Linked DNA regions of Arabidopsis thaliana. The protein of the gene in region 1 interacts with the protein of each later gene in a pairwise test. Each region holds a gene or a part of one and is shown on either strand. Other genes may lie near its edges. The genes, in order: AT1G20910 and AT1G55950.

The links.
Region 2: the proteins of AT1G20910 (region 1) and AT1G55950 interact in binary tests that used the Arabidopsis thaliana proteins (3 or more experiments, as listed by UniProt).

Annotation. Positions count from the first base shown.
Region 1 is NC_003070.9:7,276,131-7,283,095, forward strand, and holds AT1G20910 (ARID/BRIGHT DNA-binding domain-containing protein), read right to left. Parts: upstream 5,107-6,965; 5' UTR 4,849-5,106; intron 4,521-4,848; 5' UTR 4,506-4,520; coding exon 4,218-4,505; intron 4,085-4,217; coding exon 3,951-4,084; intron 3,866-3,950; coding exon 3,826-3,865; intron 3,457-3,825; coding exon 3,404-3,456; intron 3,308-3,403; coding exon 3,262-3,307; intron 3,004-3,261; coding exon 2,911-3,003; intron 2,469-2,910; coding exon 2,346-2,468; intron 2,191-2,345; coding exon 2,142-2,190; intron 2,065-2,141; coding exon 2,001-2,064; intron 1,831-2,000; coding exon 1,764-1,830; intron 1,653-1,763; coding exon 1,602-1,652; intron 1,360-1,601; coding exon 1,267-1,359; coding exon of another isoform or gene 1,189-1,266; exon of another isoform or gene 1,175-1,188; coding exon 1,079-1,174; 3' UTR 813-1,078; downstream 1-812.
Region 2 is NC_003070.9:20,926,189-20,929,451, reverse strand, and holds AT1G55950 (DNA-binding storekeeper protein-related transcriptional regulator), read left to right. Parts: upstream 1-1,906; 5' UTR 1,907-1,953; coding exon 1,954-2,613; 3' UTR 2,614-2,735; downstream 2,736-3,263. Other genes in the region: AT1G55960 (Polyketide cyclase/dehydrase and lipid transport superfamily protein), read left to right, coding at 56-203, 283-549, 643-724, 896-1,092, 1,206-1,490.

The DNA.
Region 1 (6,965 bases):
TTATTGATTGAATTAGTTCTAACTATTTTAGGATGATTTGTTTTTTTTTTACAACTGATATCATGGAACAAATTGCAGATTAATTTCACAAGTCACAATCTACAGTTCTTAGCTAAATATTATAGTGATCAGATGTCTCTTAGTAAAAAACGTTTTAGCTTTGCCAAAATATATAAAATATAAATTAGAATCAATACATATACTTGGAATCATATGACTTTTTTTTGGGGGCTTGGAGAAAGAGCATTGTAGTTGTAAATATTATCAAATTCCCATGCGGTCATGTCATGTGCCTTACATGCAATTGAGCTACACCAAGTTGAGAATCAGCAATAAAAAACCTTTTTTGATCACTGTGAAGTGTGAACCTTTTTGCATGATTAAAGAGAAAGAAAACAAGTTGAGAATAATGTTTCTTGTCTTAATACTGCAGTATTTTCTGATGACTCAAAAACTAGAGTGAGCTTCAAAACTTTTGAACCTTAAATTTTCGTCATGAATTGATGATACATATATATATATATATATAAACAAGTAATGAACCTTTTTTTCTTTTCTAAATCATATATTCCCGATCATGAACTTTTTAGATTCAGGGAAATGTCAATAAGTTTTTTGCTGTTTTCGTTTTCCCTTTAATAATATGCACCACCAATATATGCATACTTTCACTTTCACTTTTTGAAAACAAATCATCTCAGGAGAACTTTTGAAAACCGAAACGCATGAGAACCTAAAAGTATACTATTGGAAGTAGAACTAGTAGATGGGATAGGCAAATCTATTCATCTCTATTAAAAAAATATGTATAAGAAAAGCATAACATTCCGATTTTAGATCAAAATCATCATTGTTGGTTGCATCCTAAATGTCTTTGGAGCAGTTTCTCCTACTAATCTCAAATTATACAAAAGAGAAATATTACAGTAAGATCAAATGTTTGTTGCATGTTCCTAACTTCAGTCTTCAGATTCAAATCACAGTTACAAAACTGCTTCAGCCGCCTAACAATTTGGTTCTGAAACATATGAATTCCTAGAAGAAACCACGAACAACTGACCAGCTCTCTTGAAATCCATTACTGCTCAAACGGAACTCGTATGAACAACCGTCCATGCATGCTCATGACCGCGGATGTGTGAAGCGGATCAATTCTTGCTGATAAGTCAACAATCTGGTGAAAACATATCAAAATGACAGGAAGGTTCTCAGTCTCTGTATCAGTTCAGTTAATGGACATATCTGGAATATAGAAGAAAGTTTTACCTTTTTGAAGGGTGTAATCCCCCAAGGATTGTCAAGCTGCTCTGGCTGGCCTGTTATAACCACCTTTCCCGCAGGATCTGATTGAATTCGAACCTGAGAAAAGACAACGTATGTTCAGTAATTGGAACTATGTACTGATTTTACCAGAAAATACTTATTGCCTACAACACTGTGTACTGAGACTATGAAACTAAAGCCAACGGATCTGCTTTGGTAACCTACCAAATCGCTTTGTGCTTGCTTTGTATTGTCACAGTAATATGCATTCAAACAAAATTAAAAGACAAGGACTTATCAAGTAGCCTTCAGAGACAGGGTTACAAAGGAGTGCTCACCTCTTTGCGAAGAAGTCCAGGTACCAAGGCAAATATCTCGAAGGAATCCTTCTGTGAATTCAAGAAAAAGGAAAACAGATTTGGTAAGAATTCCATATTGGAAACAAACATCCAGTTTGCAAGTTTTTGGCGTTTCTTTAGCCGTTGGCAGAAGTTACTCACAGATTCTTTGACATTTATCTTCACCCAGTCAGCAACGGGTCCAACATCAACAACCTCAGCAGCCAACCTATCATGACAAAAAGGAAACCTTAACGTTAATCTATAGTAATATGTTCAGGTCCAGAAAATGCTACGTTTTCATCTCATTACTGCTAAGAGGCATTGAAAGAAGAACCAAAAAACTAATATAACTATCTTAGAATTGCAAATAAGAAGGAGAGATCAGCTTTCCGTAACTGTTTGTCAGCTTCATTTGTAACAACATGGTCCATGCTAGTTTGTTGTTTGTGTTTTTGCAGCCCTGAAAAAACCGTTTAAAACATAACGTTAAGCAACCCTCGTTGACAAAATAGCAAAGCCTTGAGAACTATTTTGTACCAATGCTTTTGAGTTTCTTGTGCTTTGGGGTGGAAATTAAGCCCTTATCCTGAAACAAAAGGAGAACATCATTTTACTTCCGAAATAAAAAACGACAAAAGAAATAAAAAGTCTTCTTCTTTCTACATGTGAGTCAGATTCCTTGGTGCATGAAAAAATTCTGCATAATGGAATCACAAAGTGCAGTAAGATTTGAAGTGAAACCTTAACAGCAGGCGCAGTAACCTCTCCAGATCCAACAAGGCGCTGCGCATGCCAACCTTGCATAGCACGAGCTGCAGAATCTCTTCGTGCCCTGCCTGACCCTGAACCTTGATGGCTACTTGGCTACAGCAAAGTCCTTGTATCAGGGAAGAAAAAAATATGGAGAAGGGAAAAAAAGGGAGGCACATGAATTTTCGTTTAGGTTTTCTGCAACTTATATGGTAATTTACTGGGTTATGCACACGGATTTCTTATGGCTTTTGTATCGAACACAAAATGGCTACAGCTTTCTTCAGTCAGATTGCAGATAGTTGGGTTTAAAAGGTTTAGCTGGTATTACATAAATGCTGAAAAATAACTCTTATGCTATCATTTCTTCAGTATCAACGACATTTAATCACAGTACATGAAACCTTCCCACAATAAATTGACAAGTAGATACTCTTCATTAATTTTACGGTGCTAGATCGATCTTCATCCAAACTTTCCATATCTACCATTATTTCTATATATTATTCAGTAGTGTCTAAAATCCAAAAGCCATTTTTTTAGGGGAAATTCATACCTCTTTCTCGACACTGGAAGACAGAATCAATGTTGAACCAGGAAGGTTAAGCTCACCATTATTCCTTAAACACTTTTCGTACTCCAAAAGTGCCTGCAATTGAAGCAAAGATATAGATCATATGTACCTGTATCTATATGATAAGATAGAAAGAAAACAAGCAGTGCATTCAAACTTCGAAGTGACAAAAGAATAGTCCAAAATAAAGAGCTACCTCAGCAAGACAAAGAATTAAACTAACTATTATAACACACCATACTAAGAAGAAGCACAAGGAGAATTGTCTGAAGTGGATAAGTAAAAATGAAGACAGGATAAATATACGATACTTATGCACAAAAACAAACTCACCTTCTCATAGAAATTGCGGAATGTGTAGGAGACTGTTGTGCATGTCCTGAATAAAGATAGTTTAACCAAATGTGGAAAAAGATTAGCATTATGAAAAATTGGTAAAGACTAACGGAGAGTCTAAGGAAAATATCAGCCATACTTGGGAGGATTGAAGGATTCTCCAACTTGCCGCCACAGCTTATTTGTGGTGACCTACATTACCATGAAAAAACAAAGGAATCTTAAAGACCATAAGTCCAGCAGAAGATTAAGAAAACATTGAATATATAATTCCAAATATAGCTAACAACAGTAAAATAAATCAGTTTCCCAAGAAAATATCGAACATTCTTTAATGTTTGATATGTTCGCTTAAAGTCATAAATCTTCTCTGAAAGCCACATCGTTATAGATACTCTTATCATAAATTAGCTTACGGATTCAATAGTTATACCCTATATACAGTTCATATGCCATCCACAATTCAAACAATAAAATGTAGGTGATAATCATACGGGCCAACTTAAATAACCAAGACTTATAAACTGACGAACTAAAAACGATATGGTTTTGGATAATTACCACTTCATAGCCACCTAGGTTCACGACTGCTCGCCAAAGCCTACATTGGATGCAAAAGTGAGGCACTGATTAACCAGATATATGGGTTTATTAAGAACAAAAGCACCACTTTTCCAACAACTCACTTGAGAATGTTTAAAGGCTGTCCATAAAACTTAGGAGGTTTAAATTCCAGGAAACTCTCTTTGTAAAAGGCCTCCACTTCTCTTAGAAACGCCACTTGTTCTACCGGTGTCCCTGCTTCATCAGTTCCCTGTGCCTGTAGAGAAAGGTGAACCAGTAAGTGAACAATCACCACATAATTTTCGACCACAAAACAGTGAAATCCAATCCTGAGAAAACAAAAAGACACAGGCTTTTTGAGCCAAATTGAAAGAAACATAGCCTAGTACCTCAGAATCCAGCAGCCAAGTCTTCCTCTTTTTGGCATTCTCACCTTCAGTCTTAGGACTCAACATTTGCACCCTACGAGTCTTCCTTTCAGAGTGGTCAACAACTCCAACAGCACCACCATTCATGCCATGACCATTATTAGCCTGACCATCTCCAAGAAGAAGGGGCTGCGGGATTTCACTAGGGTTGTGATCATTTTCTGGCTCCAAAGGTTCTTCCTCTAAATACTTTGTCTCAACAAGGGCACCAAAAGTCACATCTTGCTCTTGCATTTCGGTATCCACCATCTTAAGCTTCGATTTCTGTTGTGGAGTAGTCAGTCACAGCAAGACAAGGACAAAAGAACAAATCCAGAAGAAAAAAACGAAGAAGATAAAAAAACTGTATATAACTAACTATTGGTGATTCCAGATTAAACAAAAAGGAATTGTCTTTCTTCTCCGCCTGGAAACTATAGCTTCTCTCTCTCTCTCTCTTCTATCTCTAAACGCAATTAAGAATTGGAGCAAACTCACTCACTCTATTACTACAAAACCTCATCCTAATCAAAACTACCACAGATAAACAAGCCGAGAAGACCTTTCAGCTTCCATAGAATACAGAGAGCAGCAAAAAAAAACATATGCTTACCAGTTCTGCAGCGACGGCGACGGCGAGTAAAGGTTGGTATGAGAACGCAGGGACTCCGACGGCGCGCTAGGGTTTAGCAGCCGGAGAAATTGAAAGAAGCTGGAGGAAGAAGAAGAAGAAGGAGATACAGAGAGAGAGCTGAAAAAGGAGAGACAATTCGAAAGAGGAGAGACAATCTTATGTTAATGGAGGAAGGTATTAGTAAAAAAGATGGGATGGGGGATGTTATGTGGTTTTTAACTTTAATTTGTTTTACACTCAAAAAGTAAACAATTTCTTTTCTTCTTTTTGTATCTATTAGTCTTTTTAGACTTTCTTAATTTTTGGTAAATATAGGATTTGTAACCTTTTATTGTTGTTGAATGTTGGGATTTCTACTATATGTAATAACCACGAAAGATAAACATTGAAAAAGTTTTTTTTTTTTTTTTGCCAAAGGGTGTTATTATATATATGAAACATTGTACAAAACATATATACATAGAAGAAAGGAGCTATATGAAATTTAGGTTTACGAAATTACGACAACGATTACGGAGGAAACAAAGAAGATCGAAATTAGTATAAATACGATACAAAAAATATTAAAAAACTTAGGTTTATAGAAAAGTTTATGAATTAATTTTATATTTTTAACAAGAAGTTCAAGATGATAATTAAAATATATGATGTTGAGACTTGGAAATAAAATTTAGGTTTCATGATTTGGAGTTAAGATGTGAAAACTATATCATAATGGAAATATCTATATATACATGTTTGGAGGGGATTTTTGAAGATAATGTTGAAGATTTGAGCCATAATTCAACAATTAATTCAAATGGGTGGGTTTTACTCGGCTTAACTCTGTTCAGATCCTGGATAACATGTTTAATTCAGTTCTGATCTTGGATAACATTAGTTTTTGGAAAAGTTACCTAAAAACTAATAATTAAAAACGAAAATTAATGATTTAATTACCAAATTTAATATAAACAATATCTCTAAACTAACCATATTTCTTATTTACCTTAACTAATTTCCTAAAATATTTCTACCTAATTTAAACATAAATATATAATTCTTCTTTCAATTTTATTTGATCTTATACTTTATTTATTTTGAATTTATATAAAATATATATAGTTAATAAAATATTATATTTTTTTCTGAATATGATGTAATTCAAATTTTTTAAAACGGACATATATTATTCAACCTATGAAGAAATAATATGTGTACAATGTCCAACATCGCTTAGAAAAATTGGACAATGGTTCAGACCCATATTATAAAAGGACCAAAATGATTCTGATTATGAATGAGCATGAAGCTTGATTTATCAGGCGTCCAAAATTAAAATAGTTATCCGATTTTACTCGGATTTTTTATTTTAAAGAATTAAAACTTTAAAATGTTTCAAAAAATTATAAATATTATAACTTTATCAAATGTTAAATATTATAATTTTAAAAACTTTTTATAAAGTTTATCTTTAAAAAATGCTTTAAATATTTATAATTTTAAAACTTATAAAGTTTTAAAAATTATAAATTGAATTTTACAAGAAATTTAAACATTACAAATATAGAAAAAATATATTAATACGAGATGATATATTACAGGAAAAATCTTAAAAATTGGGTCGATATTGTATTTTTTTAAGTTTCAAATTTTATAATATTGAAATTTATAAGAAAATGACAAAATTATGTTTAATTTCACGGGACTGGATTATATGGTAGGACGGGTTTGGGTGGATAATAATTACGATTTTAGAATGTTCTATATCGCTTAAAAAAATTGGACAATGGTCAAGAGCCATACTATAAAAAGGACCAAAATGATTTCGATTACGAATGAGCATGAAACTTGATTTATGAGGTGTCCAAAATTAAAATGGTTTGTTTTACTAGGGTTATTTATTTTAAAAAATTGAAACTTTAAAAAGTTTAAAAAATTATAAATTAAATATTACAAGAAATTTAAACAATATAAAAGATATTAATACGGGACGATATACTGCGAGAGAAATCTTAGATATAACACTCAAAATTCAATGATGAAGTTTGGGTCAATATTAATCTTTTTTGAAGTTTCTAATTTTATAAATATTTAAAATTTATAATAAAATGACA
Region 2 (3,263 bases), about 14 Mb from region 1:
TTATGTGGATTGGTTTCATTGAGCTACCAGATTCCTCTTATACATTTTTTTGCAGGATATCCAAACTAGTCTCTGATGAAGATTTGAAATTTCTGATCGAGAATTTGGAGGAGGAAACAAATGATTCCACGGAGATATGGGAACATGTTATTCACAAAAGCAACGATCGCATTTCATACTCTGCTAAACGCTGCAAACCCAAAGTAGTAACTTACTTTCAAAAGTGTCTTTTTAGTCTTTTATTATTCTGATTACTGAGTATCCTTTTGGCTCTATTATTAGGATGGCGGTGGTCCTATGAAGTACCTAAGTGTCACGGTCTTCGAGGGTTTCTCTGCAGAGATTGTGAGGGACTTTTACATGGACAATGATTATAGGAAACTATGGGATAAGACTGTGGTTGAGCATGAGCAGTTGCAGGTTGATAGTAATACTGGAATTGAGATTGGTCGCACCATTAAAAAGTTTCCCTTGTTGACATCGAGAGAGTACGTTCTAGCTTGGAGATTGTGGCAAGGAAAGGAGAAGAAGTTCTACTGTTTCACAAAGGTCAAATTCAACCAAAAAACCTCTCTCTCCCTCTATCTGTCGCAATTTGTTGTTGCTTCTTTACTTATCATTTTGCTCTTTGGTTACTATTAGGAATGTGATCACAATATGGTACCACAACAGAGGAAGTATGTACGTGTAAGTTACTTTAGATCTGGTTGGCGAATCAGGCAAGGCAAGTGGATTCACCTAAAAGTTCTAGTCAGTGTTGTTTGAATACCATATAACCAGATATTGATTGATCATGGTGAACACGGTCCTTAGTTTCTTTTTTCAGTTTCTGTTGTCAGCATTCTTTCTACCTTTGATACTTATCTGACTGATACCTTTGACACACTTGCTGCAGTTCCCGGTAGAAATGCGTGTGAGATCAAAATGTTTCACCAGGAGAATGCTGGGTTAAATGTTGAGATGGCCAAGCTCGCCTTCTCAAAAGGCATATGGAGTTACGTTTGTAAGATGGAAAACGCTCTTTGTAAATACATAGCAACCAGTCATAGAACCCAAGGACCCATTCTATCTGCTGTCACCTTAATGAAAGAGGTGAGATTCATATGAAAATTCTGTTCTGTAAAATGGTATTTAGTGTCCTGAAAATATGCTTAAAGCAACCGGTTGGGTTGGGTCTTCACTGACATTGATTGTTGTATCTTCAGGTTCCATCAGAGTTAGAAACTGGGACAGATAATGTCACAGGCTCCATGGAAACAAGTAGTGGTGAAGGAGTGTTGAGTCATGTTGTAGCCGCCAAACAGAAGAAAAAAATGAGAAAGCCATCAACGAAACTGATAGCAAAAGGTCTAGTACTTGTGGGCGGTGCGATCTGCTTGTCCCGTGGTCCCTCAGCCTTAGGTGCTAAAGTCGCATTGGCTTACCTCTTGACGAAGCTGAACAAACGTGGAACTTCTCTGAATCAGACCACCCAGACCACCACCATTTAAGTAAATTTCTCCTGAACTCTGGTAGCTTTTGGTATCAAATTGTTGTACCACAGTAGTACTACCACTAGCGTATACAAAATGCAAGTCGGTGTTGATATGAATGTAAAAGCATACATTATAAACATACAAGCCTAAAGGTTATCATTCTTGTAATTGTATGTACTATGTAAGGTCTTTATCCCAATCAATCTTTACTTGATTCTTGAGTCACTACAAATTGTTCGATTGTAGTTGATATTGGGACAGATGAACATTAGTGACATTAAAGTTGAGACTAAAGAGAAAGCTTATGAGGTCTACTTTTAGCCCTTCTTTTTGGAAGTTGTAGCAACTATAGCTCAACCCTAGATGCTAAGCGGCGAGTGAAGAGTCCAACACCACAATAAATAGAAGACCTTTACTATGATATTATCTCATTACAAAACTGAAACGTTTTTTTATCTTGACAACAAAAGGAAAAAAAATGAAAAGAATAACAAAACTTTTGGCCTCCCACTCTCTCAAAAGTTTGATGGCCAAGAAAAACAAGCGTTCCCAACAGAAGAACAAGTGTCTCAAACCGGAGAAAGATCCATCGACGGTGAAGAGATTGTTGGAAGATCCGCCGAGGAAGAAAAGATATCTACAACCATTGGAAAATCCACCGACGGAATCTTATGGCGACGACGAGAAAATGGAGACTGAGGAAGAAGGAGAAAAATATCTTGGTAAGAATCTTCCGGCTTCTGCTTTTATCATCGTTGCTGCTGAAAGGCATGACTCCGATTCATATTCTGAAACCGAGCTGGAGAAGAAGATTTGCGGTTCCGTTGTTGTAGCCAAGATGAATGATGATAAGATGGTGTCAACAGATACCAAAAAGAAGTATTTTCAAAGAATATTGAGTGATGATGATAAGATCGTCTTGTTGCAAGGCATGGTTGATTTCCAGAATGATAAAGGGACGATTTCTTATGATGATATGACTGGTTTTATTGATACGGTGAAGAACATCATTAGCTTTCAAGCGAATAGTCGTCAATTCACTACCAAAATCCGTCGTTTGAAAGACAAGTTTGTACAGAAAAGGAACAAAGGTGTAGATGAGAACTCTCTAGCAAATGTTGAAATATATGAAATCTGAATACTTGTGGCTAAAGACAAGATTTTTGATGAGGTCAACTCGATGATCACTGGAGCAAATTAAACAAGTCTGAATTTAGAATTGTAATGCATCCTTTTTCATTTTCATCCCTTATGACTCTGTTTTTTCTATTTGGTTCTTTTTTTTTTGGTTTTTGATATTTGGATTTTGTTGCTAAAAACATTATGAAAGAACGGCAGATTAGATTTTAATGCATACAATTGTGTTTAAATTGTGGTCAAGGTTTATGGTATAAATTTGGTAAAAATACTCTCATTTTGGTTAGGCTCAATGAGTCATTTTGTTGCCAAGTTTAAAGATTACATGGTTCTTTCAAGCTGATTTCAACACTCATCAATGTCTAAGAGCATTGGCCTCAAAATCCGCAGAGCCAAGAAGAAGAAAAAGAAAAATCATAAAAACAGAGACCGTAGAGTGGCAGCGAAGAAGAATAAGAACAAAGATGCACCTCATGAAACCGATGCAAGTACAATTGACAAAGCTGCAACTAGTAACTTCACAAACCGGACATTATTCTTTGTTGCTGCTTGAATTTGTTCTACTAATTTGTTGTTTCTCCTTATTTGCAAGGTACATCCGACATGCATGAACATGATGATGATGGAACTGGTGACTACTCAAACCAGCTT